Tamandua tetradactyla: one gene and its partner. The protein of the gene in region 2 purifies or fractionates together with the protein of the main gene of each other region. This does not show direct contact. Links are inferred from orthologs where the notes say so. Each region holds a gene or a part of one and is shown on either strand. Other genes may lie near its edges.

Region 1 (7,254 bases), on a different chromosome or scaffold from region 2:
CCAGATCCATCAACTTTTAACATTTTGCCACATTTACTGTGTCACCTATCTATCCATCTATTTTCTAAGTATTTGAGTTTAAGTTGTACATATCATGCTTCTTGAACACTTTATACTGCCATGTAATTTCCTAAGAACAAGGATAATCACTTATGTAATCACGCTAAGTAAAATTATTAAGTGCAAGAAATTTAACATGGATATAAAGCTTAGTCTATATACTAATTTTTTCATATGTCTCAATAATGTCCTTTTGGGCCTTTTCTCCTCCATTATTAGATCCAATCCAGGAACGTGTAATTTGGAACTGTACATGGAAGTATAAAGTGTTCAAGAATCATTATAGGTACAACCTATACTCAAAGGCATGTGTTTAATGTGATTTCCACATTAAATACATTAATGTGGAAATAGATATGCAACCATATGTAGTGTATATACTTTAGTGGATTAAAACAAATTCCCAGTGTTGTGTTACCCTCACCACCATTCATCACGAGATCTTTCTCATCATTCTAACAGAAACCCATTAACTCCTCATCCCTCCTTCCACAACCTCTAACCTGTATGTGCTGGTTTGAAAGGCTTTATGTGCCCTAGAAAAGCCATGTTTTAACCTTAATCAGCCTTGTGGGAGCAACAGTTTCTTCTAATCCCCATTCAGCACTGTATGTTGGAGACTTCAATTAGATTATCTCCCTGGAGATGTGACTCAATCAAGAGTGGTTGTTAAACCTGATTAGGTGGAGACGTGTCTCCAACCATTCCGGGTGGGTCTTGATTGGCTTTACCGGAATCCTTTAAAAGAAGAAGCACTTTGGAAAAAGCTAGAGAACAAGAAAGTCGAGAGATTCTGAGAGAGCAGAGAAGAATGATATAGCCAGGAGAAGCAGAGTCCACCAGCCAGTGACCTTCGGAGATGCAGAAGGGAAAGGCTTCCCGGAGAACTTCATGAAATAGGAAGCCGGAGAGAAAGCTAGCAGATGACGTGGTGTTCACCATGTGCCCTTCCAAATGAGAGAGAAACCCTGACTGTGTTCGCCATGTGCCTTCTCACTTGAGAGAGAAATCCTGAACTTCATTGGCCTTCTTGAACCAAGATATCTTTCCCTGGATGCCTTTGATTGGACATTTCTATAGATTTGTTTTAATTGGAACATTTTCTCAGCCTAAAAACTGTTAGTTTGCAACTTATTAAATTCCCTTTTTAAAAGCCACTGAGTTTCTGGTATATTGCATTGTAGCCAGCTAGAACACTGTACTCTACTTTCTGTCTTTATTAATTTGCATATTCTAGTTATTTTATATATCTCTCTAAGCTCTTTTGTTTTCATTTGTTCAAATTAAATTTTCCTTAAGTTATGTTTTGCAAAGGATGGTTTTTCTTTTTGGTCTTTTGTCCTGTGATCTTTTCCTTTCCTTCTACGCCCATCTTGTCTCAGAGAATTTTCTCTGAGGGAAATCAGGAATGATTTCTAAGTATCAATGTCTTATCAAACTTGGCTTTAACTTCTACTTCAAGAATTTTGAATAGCCAAAGCAGATACAAAAGCTATTTTAGGGTAAGCCATGGTGGCTCAGCAGACAGAGTTCTTGCCTGCCAGACCAGAGACCTGGGTTCGATTCCCCATGCCTGCCCATGCAAAAAAATAAAACAAAAAAAATTTCATCTATCTGCTACTGAATGTTTATTTTCCTTTTGGAAACATTGGACCTCTTTTTTCCCCTTTAAAACTGGACATAAATATATCATGCTCATACTTCATAAGCCCCATTGTGGTACCAGTTGTTTCGGAGAGGTTAAGAGTTAACAAATGATTATGATGACTGAATCATTATATAGATACCTTTTTACCTTCGAGTAATTGTAGAATAGCCAAAGTAAATATCTGAATCTACTGAGACTCCCTGAACCTTAACCCAGATGCCTTGATTTTTTTTATTAATTTAAAAAAATTAACAAACAAAACATTTAGAAATCATTCCATTCTACATATATAATCAGTAATTCTTAATATCACATAGTTGCATATTCATCATTTCTTAGTACATTTGCATCGATTTAGAAAAAGAAATAAAAAGACAACGGAAAAAGAAATAAAATGATAATAGAGAAAAAAAAACTATACGTACCACACCCCTTACCCCTCACTTTCATTTACCACTATTTCAAACTGAATTTATTTTAACATTGTTCCCCCTATTATTTTTTTTTCAGATGGGCAGGCACCAGGAATCGAACCCAGGTCCTTGGGCATGGCAGGCAAGCACTCTTACCTGCTGAGCCACCGTGAACTGCCCTGTTCCCCCTGTTTATTTTTATTCCATATGTTCTACTCTTCTGTTGATATAGTAGCTAAAAGGAGCATCAGACATAAGGTTTCCACATTCACAGAGTCTCATTGTGAAAGCTATATCTTTGTTCAATCATCATCAAGAAACATGGCTACTGGAACACAGCACTACATTTTCAGGCAATTCCCTCCAGCCTCTCCACTACATCTTGAACAACAAGGTGATATCTACTTAATGCGTAAGAATAACCTCCAGGATAACCTCTCGACCCTGTTTGGAATCTCTCAGCCATTGACCAGATGCCTTGATTTTGATGATTATCTCTTTATCTTATGATTGTAAAAGCCTTGTGATAATTTGTAACTGGCCCCGCTTATACCCCTTTATCCTGTTTTATAACATTTAAGTCTTGTGATAACTAGACAGCCTCTTAATGTTTATTAAGGAAGTAACTTAAGGAGCCCAGAACCCACCCCAATTCCTAAGCTATTTTACTAGACAAAACTGGATCTAACTAAAATTGGCCCATTTGCCAAGTGCAGTAGGGTAAGCCTTAACCTATGTGACCTATACCTAATGATAAAACTAAAAGTCATACCCATCATCATGTTAAAGCCACCACCTTCTTATATATATATTCTCTATCTAGGCATGTAATCAACTTGTGCATGCTTAATTAGATCATCTCTAACTTTGTCATTGTGAGCCATTCTACTCATTATCCTAAAACCTGCCTTTGATACTATAAAACTCTCAGAGTTATTGTAGTTTGGAGACAAAGATTTTGGGTACACAGGCCATCTGTTCCTTGCTTCGCACTTGGCAATAAATGCTTTCTCCCAGTGAAACCCTCGTCTCAGGAATTGCTCATTTGTGTAAATTGGGCAGAGAACCTCCCACCCCACCCCCCGGGTTTGATCACTAAGGCAGTCACAAAAAGATCAGTGAAACTTTGTGAACCATTTGGAATATGCAGCAAAATACAGATGGTAGAAACGCTGTGGAGTTTTGTGTAAGGCTATGCTAAATTTCTTCCTACAGATGTCTGACCTCAGTGACAGGGCTTTTGATGACACTGATTTTCCTTCTCTTAGTTAACAATCGTGTTCAAAACAAAAAACCCTTAAAGTTTTATTGGGGTGAGAGGATTTTCCTAACTCTCGAAGTCATCTTATTTCCACTAATACAAATAGATTATTCGGAATAACCTCAGGGAAAGAAGTTTTCCAGGTAGGGCACTCATACATTTGTCTGGTTTTCAAAATAATTTCTTTCCTAAATAAAGGAAGCTGCTACATTTTCAGGCATTCTTAAGTCTTTCAAATTTCAAATATCTTTAGTTCGTTCGAAAAGTCCTTTACATAAGAAATTCAGAAAAAGTACTATTCTCTTACTTGACAACTGTTATATGGCATTGAAAATAAACCAATTTCACAATTTGAAGTTATTGGGGGCACTTTTAAGTTTTCTGTAACAGAGGCACGGATTCCCTGATTGCTATTGTTTGGTCCCGGCCTTTATTTGCAGAAAGAAAACCAGTGTTTGTGCTTAATTAAACCAGCCTATCTGTCTCTGTTTCAGCGGCATCAGTTTCGTTCAAGTACGTCCTGTGTTTTGGGGTGGGAGTGGCGGCTACTGCCTTCGAACACAAGTCCGTTGGGCCGACGGGGCTCCCTTTCCTTGGACACCGCCAGGAGAAGCAGCGACTGTATCAAGGGGACTAGGAGGAGGCGAGCAGAGCCGGCCACGCGGGAAACCGCGCGCTCCACACGGCGGGGCCGGGACCCAAGCGCCAGGAGCCGCCCCAGGCCACGCACGCGCACCCGCGCCGCCTCCGCCCGGGGTGCCGCTCGCGCCGCGCTCGCGGGGCTGTCCTCGGCGGCGCCTGATCGGTGCGGAGAATTACTGTGAGGACAGAGTGGCCTTGGCTGTTTTCCCTGATGTGTTGTCGAGGCCAGGAAGGAGCGATAGTTTTAGAAGGCCGCAGAAGACGGGTTGTGACTGAGAAGAGAGGTGCCTGCCGTTTTGGAGGGTTTGGGCCTGAACGGCAGTGCAGGAGGCGCTCAGGCGGGGTCTTCTCTGCCAGCCGGACTGCGAGCAGGCGGGTCGAGCGGGAGCCTTGGAGCTTTGGCGTCCCTGCGAGTTCCGGGCGGCTGGGTCGCGGCGACATGGAGGATTTCGATGGCGAGCCAGTAGTCACTGTAAGGGCATCCCCGAATAGGCTTGTTTGCCCTCATGGTCCGAAGGCTGTGCCTGCTTGTACGTTTTGGGCTTTTTAACCTACGTACCGCCCTCGAGAATGTCGGCTTATTGGCCACGGTCGGGAGGTCTCGACACTAACTAGATGCCAGAGTTGGGTTTGCAGTGGTAACTGGGTTTTTGCTCTTTTATTCCCTCAGAAACCTGTCCCCTGAGGGCCTGCTCCCTCCCTAGGTCTCCGGTCCTTCCCATTTCCCCTGGCCTTTCCTCTTGGGTATTAGAGCAGGCTTGGACCAAGCAGAAGGAAGATTTTTTCTTCCAGCCGAACTAAACTCCACATCGTAATGCCGGGAGCTTGGACTCTGTCAGCTGTTTGTACAGTGTTGGCCCGAGGTTTATTAAACTTATTCTCTCGGGAGACTATTGCTAGTTTCATTGCTCTGTTTGCATTCAACTCCGTTTGAACTCGAGAACAGTGTCAACTGCGGATGATCTTAATGTTTATAAATAGATTCCTAGGTTTTAGATACTATTTAGTTACCGCTTTCTCTGCTTGGAATAGTCCCCCCTTTGGTTTTGGTTTATCTCTTACTCACTATTCAAATCCAAGCACCAGCAGCTTCATTTTCAGGAAAGCCTACCCTGACCTTGAGTAGGTGAACTATCTCCTGTCTGTTATAGGCTTTCAGAGTTCTGTACTTCTTAGCTGTTAACAAACTGTAATTAACTGAGCGTGTGTTTTTGCTTTTTAGAAAGTTGAAATGACAACAGTTTTCATCTAAAACCACCAGATTGCAAAGCAGTCTATGACAAACCAAACATTGAAAATAAGGATCTTTCAAAGCTAAATAGACAGAAATAAGACATGAGATATTAAGTAGGAGCAAACTAACATGGTTATTACTTTCTATTGAGCTTACTGCTGTAAAGTTTAAATATTTAATATGTATCAAGTATTTATATCAATGTTGGTGGTGTATGTAAGAAGAAGAATTAGAAAACCAGGATTACTGATATAACTTTTTGAAAGTATATGTCGTCTTTTCGTTTCACAGTCCACTTATGTCAGAATCTTTGAATGAGGGAAACTTCCCTGTCAAACCCTGGAGAACCTTTTCTCTGATACTGGGATATGCATTTTCAAAAGGGACAAAATGTTCAGCTAGGCCCCCTTCCTCCCCCAAGTGATGATGATTAATTTGTGGTAACCACATTCTGCATTGGTATTGGGGAGACCCGCTAGGAAGCTGGTTTGCCTGTGGACAGAGCCTCACTGCATGGCACCATCTTGGAAGAATTTCATAGTCCAAACTCTAAGCCTGGACTCTGCAAATTCAAATGAAACTGTTTTCTGTATTTGAGAGTTAATCTGTGCTTTGGGTTTACTCTAATCAGACTCTCAAGAGAATGATAAATAACCCTGAATACCTGAATAACATTTTATTAATATACCTCTTATAGTAGTTGTCTGCTGTTCAGGCAACTGCTTCTTATCAGGGCACATGAAGGCAATTTGGTAATTAGCACATTCAGTGATGTCTCAGCATAGATTAAAGAGAGTAGGATAGTCTTGGGTGGGTAGTTCATCTAGACCAGTGGTCTTAGCCTTTTTAATTTATTTTTGGGGTCAAGGACGCTTAAGAAATGTAAGTTATAGTCAAATTTTCCCTCCAAAAATGCCCCATGCATGTAATTACATGTAGTTCAAGGACCCATGGAAACCCAGACATGAAGCCTCATTTCCCTTTCCAGTCAGTTTCCACCATCCCACACATTGAGTTCTAGCACCATACATTAATTTTGCCTGCTCTTGAAATTTAGCTCAGTATTTGTTTTCTGTGTGTGTTTTTCAAGAACTCATTGTTTTTAGGATTTGTTATGTTGTATGAATCATGTTTCTTGTTGATAGATACTTGGGTTTCCATTTTTGGCTACCGTGAATAAAGCTGTTCTGTGTTCCTGTACAAGCTGGTAGTTTTTGTTTGTTTGCACATACACGTTCCTTTCTTCTGGGTAAGTGGAATTGCTAGGAGTTAGGGTAGATGCATATTTAGCTAGAAGAAGCTCAGTTCTTCTATACCATTTTTTTTTTCACCTGTACCAGCAAATTGTGAGAAATGCAGTTGCTCCATACCCTTGTCAACTCTTGGTATGATCAGTCATATCATTTTAGCCATTCTAGTGGGTGTGTTGTGGTATCTCAGTGTCATTTTAATTCATATTTCTCTAATGACAAATGATATTGAGAATCTTTTTACATGCTTATATGTCATTTGTATATCTTCTTTGGTGAACTGTGTTCAAATTTTTCTCCCATTCTATCTGGTTGTTGTTTTTCTTGAGTTGTAAGAGTTCTTTATATATTCTGGACCGAAGTCCTTTATCAATTAGATGCTTTACAGATATTTTCTCCCAATCTATGGCTTGCCTTTTCACTTTCCAATATCTTTTTAAGAGGGAAAGTTTTTAATTTTAATGAAGTCCTTTATAAATCTTTTTCTTTTATGCCTTCCATGGTTTGTGCTTTTTGTGTTCTAGGAAATCTTTGTCTCATTCAGAGTAAAAAAGATGTTCTCCTTTGCTTTGTCTATATGTTTTATAGATTCTGCTCTTACTTTTTAATTTTTATCCCCCCCCCCCCCCAGTGGATATCCATATGTTCCAGCACTATTTGTTGAAAATATATCCTTTCCCCATAAAATTACCTTGGCACCTTTGTTAAAAATCAGCCATATGCATGTGGGTTTGCTCTGGACTTTC
Region 2 (8,159 bases):
AGAAAAGGTGGTTATTTTTCCCCCAAGACAATATCAGCACTAGTAATCCCACTTAATAAGAGCTTATTTAATTGTATGTTGGCCTCTTAACTGCTAAGCACTTTGTGGGTCTCAGCTTTTTTCATAAAAGAACTTTTGTATTTAATACAAAGTTTGCTTTGAGACTTTTCAGCATACGATCTTTTTCCATAAACTTGTACAGTGCAAAAGACATTTTGAATACCATGATCGATGATGTCCCATGCTTCAAGGAAAAACCAAACCCTTTCCGCCTCGCTTGCAAAATTCATTCCCCACGCTGACCCTTCCCAGAGCTGTTCTGTGTCAGCCTGGCCCCCTTCCTTTCTCTGGGCCCAGAGAACTCTTCCACAAACCAGATGAGATCCACTTGGGAAAAGAGCCATAGTCAGCTGGGAGGGCCTGGGTCTGGATGGCTGTTGGAGAAACTTGAGAGCTTGGGTCCAGAGTCAGCCCAGCCCACCGAGCTAACCCTGCCTGTGAGAAGAAGGCTTTCAAGTAGGACTGTCTTGGGCAGAAAGCATCATCGGAACAGCGTGGAGAAATATCTCTAAATGTTTCCGGCAGAGGAAACCGCACCTCCAGCCCTCGGATATGCCACTGGACTCAGCTGCACCCTCCTGCAGAGGAAGGAAAGACCTGCACATGTGAAACATGGGACAGCCGTGGAACATGGTGTTTTTTGGAGTTTCCTTTCTCACGTTTTCCATCCTCCCCTTCTTTGTACCATTCACATGTCCATAACCTCATCCCGTGACACCAGGGTTGTTCCACTTGCAGGGCAAACAGGAGGGGCCTCTCCAAGGGGAGCCTGGCTTGGGAATAGGGAGTGACAGAAGCCACCTCAGAAAGGACAGCATTCATGTTGGTCTTTTTCTGTCGGGAATGATAGCCCCTCAGTGCACACCCCCTCACTCTCACACTTGCATACATCCCCACACACAGTGGAAATGATTGGTTTGTCAAAACTCACTGTAGTCCGTAAAGCTTGCACTCTGCGTCCTATATCTAGCAGCATGGGGTACGTTTGGCAGTTCACCCCATTAGGGGGTAAATAATTTATGACCATTCATCTGTTTTTATGAATTTTTTTATCTAGACGATAATTGTAAATAAAAAAAACTCACCGTCTCTGTTCATTTAATACTATGCAATGGTTATGCTTTCAATTGCTGACTCCTTAATCCCTCAGTGTGGTTTTGAAATGTCTGGTTAAAAAAAAAAAAGCAAAAAACAACCTCAAACAACATAGTAAGTATATTATACTCTGTACTGTATACTTTTTCTCTATGGCTGGGGCTGCACCATCCACTTAGTTTCTCCTCTGTCCTGCAGACAGGAGCCCCCGGAGAAGATAACTGATTCAGTTCTGAAGTCTAAACTCACCAACTTGCCCCCCATGACAGATGAGGGAAGAGCAGGGAGCCCCATTCAGGGACTCCTAAGGCTATCGAGTCAGCCACCTTTGGAAGTGGGCAGGGAGGAGACTGTGGAATTTCTTTCCTGAAACTCAGGCAGAGCTTTCCCTAACTCAGGAGCAGCCCCGATTGCTCCTGTTAGCCTCTCACCACCACCCCTTGCCCCCCCGTCCCTTTGTCCCAACACGAGGGAGGGCGCCATGCTTCTGAGACCAGACTAATGACAGTGACAGTACTGGAGCAATGCCTCCATCCCTGTCTTATCCTGGGTGTCCCCGATATTGGATAATGCCCTCTTTTTCCCAGCCTTTTAGAAATGCCATGTCTTACAGGGACTTGGGACTGTTTCTGGAATTTCTCTCCTGTTCCCTTTTCTGGGTGTCTCATCTGGCACAAGCCACGCAGTTTTAATGATTGTAGCTTTATAACGTTTTGTTAACCGGTGGGGTGAGTCTGCTTCACTCTTCTCTTACAAAATTTCTTGGTTGTTCTCTTCCATCTGCTCCTTGAAGTCAACTTTAACATTTTGCCAATTCTACCCATCCCTGCCCTCCTCCTACCCCAAATTTTGGGTCCTGTCATTCAGTGTGCAAGCATTTTCCCTTCATTGCAATTACCAGCCACTCAAGGCCGCTAAAGAGAGTGTGCCAGTTGCCAGAAGCCTTGTGCCCCTCCCATCATTTCATCTGTCACCTGAGCTCAGGAGTTGTTAGGAAAGGCCACTGAGCTCCCACCTAATCTCAGCTTGGGAACCAGAGTCACCCCACCATTAGCCTTGCTGGAGGGGGTGCTCCTCCTGCCCCTAGCTCAGCTGAGAAAGTGGCGTCTCTCCCAGACCTGGAGCTACCAGAGCTTCCTAGGAGAGAGACCTTTGTTAGGAATATGTGGCCCAGTTGTCATGTACTTCTAATTTCTCATCGTGGAGAACTGTCTGTTCCCATCTCCCTTTCCTGAGCAGGTTCTGTCTATTTTGGGGTTTGTGTTTTGTTTGGGGGTTGAGAAGCTAAGAACCTCCTGCTCTTACCCAGAGTTTTCAGAGGTTGTGTGACAGGTCCTTTGGGATACAGCAATTTTTCATCTGGACCTTATCACCACTGTTATTCTCCCCACCACATTCTTGTTCTGCCTACAGAAGGCTGCCAACCTAGTGCCCTCTGACAAGCCACCCACAAAAATCTCTCTCCTGACGTAGTGTCTGAAGCCCTACCACTAGAGGGTCTTGGGAGTGGGGGCGGTGTGTGTAGTTCTAGAAAGCCTTTGGATCTTACAGAGCCAAATCCTAAATCAGATAACAGCAGGAAATCCCTGGGTCATTTCCAAGTTCCAAATCAAGCTCCCCAGATTTTGATGCAGAGATCTACCCATGCAAGTAGGGGAAAGGGGGTCTCAGGCTCTGGGCATCAGCCTACACCCCCTCCCCTTAAAACAAGATATTTGAGGCTGCTTTGGGACTGCCCTTCTCAGACCCCTACGTGTTTTGTAATGCCTGTGGTGCTCTCTCTCCCGGACCTTTTGGGGGTCACCACACTTTGCTAACTCTTGTGTGCACATATTTTATAACAGAGTAGCGAGAGAATGGTGCCGCCTCCAGCTTCCACAAGCTGCCTGGGCTCTGGGACAAATGGGACTGGGAAGTGACTGTGCTCTTATTGTACACTCTTTATTTCTCTGTATCTCTGGCTTGTGCTCTCTGTAATGAATGGGATTTGTCTGCCTTTTCAACACTATACTGAGCAATAACAATAAATGCACACGTGGAAACACAGACACGGTACACATCACAAGACCTTTTTCCACAGGACAACTGGGTCTCCACCTCACCCCTCGTGGATTTAAATTCCGGGGAAATTAAGTCCCTGGGAGGGAAGTCCCAAGGCTGTGTATCTCCTTCCACCAGGTCATACCTTCTGGAACAAGTGCATATTCATACCTGAAAATCCAGGAGAGAGACAAACTTAACCTGCCATCAGCTACTGACCCTCCATGAGGAATGGCCAATAGTCCCAGAGAATAAAATCTTAGAAGGGGCCTCAGGAGGAGGAGGAGAAGATGCAGGCAAAGGGACTCGGGGGAGAGGGGGTCACAAATTGGGGAGACCTAAGAGTGGCCTGATTTGGTTCTGGGGGCAGGAGATAATGGACACAGGATGTAAGAAGCATCCCTATTAGGAAGAGGGGAGCCTGGTACCCAAAGTGTCTGAACTTTGTAAACCTCTGCTTAGCATCAGAGCAAGACACCATCCCCAATGTTGAGTGAGGGATGGGAGATGCAGCCACACATGAACCCCAAATCCTAGCCTCTTCCCAGGCCCATCCACTTCCAATTTCACATCCATTTAATCTCATATCAACCTTCAGAGGGTGTATTATTACAGTTCCCACTTGGTACTACTAGCTGGTAGGCAATATAGTATTTAAACTAAGAGTTTCCTTCCTGACCCTGTACTCTAAACCAGTTTATTAACACTGTCTTTCAGGTCTGCAGCAATGCGTAAGATACAGTTTCATTCTCTGTCCCAAATTCTCAATTTCTTTTTCAAGGCCTATGCAAGGACATTCTTTTAATAACAACTATTCCACCATGCATTATATTTATATTATATCTGATATGCCATTATCCCCATTTTCCAGTTCAGGAAACGAGGCTCAGGGAGAAAACTGACTTAGCCTTATCACTGAGAGAAATCAGTGGTGCAGCTACAGACCGGAGGCCAAGGTCTATTCCTTTAAGAACAGGAAACCCAAGAGATCCCCACCTTTATTCTCTGCTCCATACTAGTCCCCACTCCCCCCACCCCCCGCCCCACTTCCCACACAGTCCTGCAATATTTTTCCATTAGAGGGATAAACAAGTCCTGAAATCCGTTGGAAGGAAGTACAAGTCCTGAGTTTCCTCAAGCGGTAATCATCCAGCTAGATTTCTTACCCTGTTTTCAAGAGAGGAAACTGTCATCTAAGGGGAATCTAGGTTCCACGCTGGGTCACTCTCCTCAGTGCCATGAGGGGCCAGACTCCTGGGCCATGTGTGGCAGAAAGGAGCCCCCATCTCTGTCCAGCGGTGCAGGGTTCTCACTGAGCTTACTGGGGTCCTCCCCTTGGACAACCAGGGACTTAAGGACTGGGGACTCTAGTGGTTGGGTCTGGGCTCCAGCTGTAGGAACCTGGCTAAGATCCCTCCTTGCCCGGTCGATTACCTGACGGGCCAGACTCACAGGATCCCGGACCGTGGGGAAGGGCATCGGCCCTATGACTAGGGGAAGGAGGGGTAACAAGCCTCACGGCGTCCCAGCCCTTGGATTCTGAGGAAGGTCTAACAACAAGAAAGTACTGGGTGCGTCCAGTTTACCCACCCATCCCCCAATATTTAATCATCCTACAATGTTTCGTCATAAGGACGGTCGCATCCCGAACCGGAGGGAGGCAGGGGAAGCTGCAGTTATGAATCCTTTCTTTCATTTACGGATCTCAGGAAAAGGGAAGGACTGGCCCGGAGGGAAGACGGTCTTGGTATCTGAGTTTCGGATTCCAAGTGACCCCTGGTCAGGGTCCGGGTGGAACCCGCAGCCTCATCTGGTCAGCCCGCGGGATCCTTAAAGGGGCGGGGCCACGGGAGGGCGCGGCGCGGCCTCTAGACTGCGCGGAACCTTTGCACGCCGGTGTGGGTTGCTACCGGAGACTCCGGCCGAGCGGCACCGGAAGTGAGCCGTTGGGAGGAACCGGGAGCTGCCACGTCCGAGGGCCGGAGCCGCCACTGACGCAGTCATGGTGAGTGTTGGGACCCGGGACACCCAGCGGAATTCGGGCCGGGGTCGCGTCTGCTGACCGGACAGAACTCGCCCTGTCGGATTCCACTGCCGCGTTGCGCTCAGCCCGAGAGAGGGGCCGTCTAGCTTCCTCCACTCTCCCGAGGTTTGGGGTCTTTGGCCCTGCCGCTCGGCTCCTTTCGGAGGGGAAGGCCGCGGAACCTCCCGGAACTCTGCGTGCCGCGCGGCCGCCGCGTCTCTCGTACCTTCCTTTAGTTCCCTTACCTCAACAAACAGAACCCAAAATAGCATTGTAGCTACCGTATCCGAGCCCGTAGTCAGTTCCCAGTGTTGTTCATAAGCTCAGTCTGTCAGTATACCTATGAGGTGGGTGGTATTATTATCAACATTGTACAGATGTGACAACTTAAGGTCCGGAGATGTGGAACGTCTTGCACAGCAGAAGAGTCGCAGAGCTAAGATTCAGTTCTGCCACCTACCACCTGTGCCAGCAGAGATGTTTGTCGAACTCTTACTCAGCGCAGGGCCCCACAGAAGGTACCCTAAGTATGATGATCCCCTCAGGAAACTGAATGTAAGGATGTGCTGAAGGACTTTCTGGAGGGCAGGAGCTGAGGTTTTTATCTCATTGGTATCCACGGTGTACGTGTACTCCAGACTTATTGGGTAGTTGACTGTCCGAACTGAGAAATAGTGGATGGAAGCCTCCATCTTCAGCCCGTGAGGGTTCATTTAAAAACGCTCACTCAGTCACAGACGTGTGGAAACCCCAAGTCAAGACATCGGGTTTAGTTCCTCCTCTTTTGGGTGAAGAGGCTTCAGGTGCTGAATAGGATCTTTTGTGCTCTGATACTCAGCTCATTTTAACTGAATTTTTAACTCATGGACTGACTCTGAGGAGCTGAATTGTTTTGAGTACTGCCTCCTAGAACTTTAAAAAGGAAAACACAGATAACTCCGTGTGCTCGGGAGGAAGTGCTTTAAGAGCTTACAACACACATATTCTTACACATTATATAGATATCCCTGTTTAGCTTATAGTGTCTTGGAGTGGCTAGAGGGAAGTACCTTAAACTGTTGAACTGTGTTCCAGTAGCCTTGATTCTCGAAGATGACAGTATAACTATATAGCTTTTACATTGTGACTGTGGGATTGTGGAAACCCTGTGTCTGATGCTCCTTTTATCCAGGGTATGGAAAGATGAGTTAAAAAAAAAAAGAAGAAGAAGAAGAAGAAACAGAATTAAAAATAAACAAATAATAAGGGGAGGTAAAGGGTAAGAATTGGGTACGTCGAAGTACTGTAGGTCAGTGAGAAGGAGGGATGAGGGGTATGGGATGTATGAGGGGTTTTGTTTGTTTGTTTGTTTGTTTTCTGTTTCTTTTTCTGGAGTGATGCAAGTGTTCTAAAAATGATCATGATGAAGAATACACAACTATGTGGTGGTGTTGTGAGCCATTGATTATATACTGTGGTTGGGCTGAATGTTTGTGGGTAGTTCTCAATAAAAATATTAAAAAAAAACAAAACACACACACATGTTGAGAATCATGGTTCACCAACTCTGGTGGGTGAGAGTGGTTAGAAATAAATGCTAGTTATCTTTAAGGTCCTTTGATGACCTGATATGAAACTACCTCCTAGTAAACTTTCTTCCTGACTCTCCTTAGCCTTCAGTCTTGGATTTAAGGAATACATTGTAACAGCTACTTTATGTTCTAGATAGACAGCCTTGTGGGCTGCAAGCTAGGAGAAAGGCTCCATTCCCAGGTCTGCCTTTCCTTAGTCACTGTGACCAGGTACTTTCTCTTCTCTGAGCTTCAGTTCCTGAGTCAGACATCCCTGATTAACTCTGCCCTTTGTACCTCCAAGCACACATGTGGAATCACTTTGTAACATGTAGTGCTCTACATACATAGGAGACTCTTCCCCTTATCTGTCTTCCTTACTTGCCCTTGCAGTTCTTGGGGATCCTCTCTTTACGGAGTTTAGAATTTCATGAAAGAAGCTGTCTTTACTTGTGTACATTTTGTCCACAAATGCAGCTATCCTCTTCCAGAAACCACCTTTCTGAAAAGCTAAGTCTAAACTTTATATCAGCAGGGCTTGTGTTTGAAAAGATGAAATAGAAGGTATGGTAAATATCAATTCCAGAATATAACTGTGCTTTCAGTCCCTTTTTTTGAAAAAAAATTTTTTAAATACCAAAAAACACCAAACGCAAACATTCTTAACTTTTGATCATTCCAGTCTATATATATAATCAGTAATTCACAATATCATCACATAGTTGCGTATTCATCATCATGATCATTTCTTGGAACATTTGCACGTATTCAGAAAAAGAAATAAAAAGAAAAAAAAATCATACAAACCATACCCCCATCCCTCCCCCTCACTGAACACCAGCATTTCAATCTAAATTTATTTTTACATTTGTTCCCCCTATTATTCATCTTTATTTCATGTTTTACTCATTTGTTGATAAGGCAGATAAAAGGATCATCAGACACAAGGTTTTCACAATCAGACAGTCACGTTGTGAAAGCTATATCATTATACAATCATCTTCAAGAAACATAGCTACTGGAACACAGCTCCACATTTTCAGGCAGTTCCCTCCAGCCTCTCTACTACATCTTGTCAGTTCCTTTTATATCCTAAGAATTTAAAGAGAGTAGTGGTTGAGCAAAGTAAAAATGTCAGTTTTTGTTCATTCATTTGTTCATTCAGCAAGTAGTCACTGTACTGCTAAGTACTGTGCCAGATGATTTGAAGGGATTAAAAATCTGCAGCTAACTCAAACCCTGGCTCCAGGGAGCTCACCTTCTCCTAGGAAGAAGATATAGCATAGAATGTTGTGGACATTCAGCACTGAAGATATTCAGAGGATATGTAGATATGCAGCCATTCCAGTTAGCAGGGAATTTCCAACACTGAGGTGTGAGGTGAACTGAAT

Evidence for each region.
Region 1: the proteins of SEC13 (region 2) and NUP85 purify together in Homo sapiens (affinity purification with mass spectrometry; 5 studies listed by BioGRID and IntAct, counting the BioPlex papers as one, with this or other methods). This does not show direct contact. The link is inferred for Tamandua tetradactyla from reciprocal best matches to the Homo sapiens genes SEC13 and NUP85.

Annotation. Positions count from the first base shown.
Region 1 is NC_135332.1:15,619,898-15,627,151, forward strand, and holds the start of NUP85 (nuclear pore complex protein Nup85), read left to right. Parts: upstream 1-4,154; 5' UTR 4,155-4,235; coding exon 4,236-4,496; exon of another isoform or gene 4,497-4,530; coding exon of another isoform or gene 4,531-4,554; intron 4,555-7,254. UniProt on the Homo sapiens protein: Essential component of the nuclear pore complex (NPC) that seems to be required for NPC assembly and maintenance. As part of the NPC Nup107-160 subcomplex plays a role in RNA export and in tethering NUP96/Nup98 and NUP153 to the nucleus.
Region 2 is NC_135335.1:38,755,694-38,763,852, forward strand, and holds the start of SEC13 (protein SEC13 homolog), read left to right. Parts: upstream 1-5,083; 5' UTR 5,084-5,197; coding exon 5,198-5,200; intron 5,201-8,159. UniProt on the Homo sapiens protein: Functions as a component of the nuclear pore complex (NPC) and the COPII coat. At the endoplasmic reticulum, SEC13 is involved in the biogenesis of COPII-coated vesicles.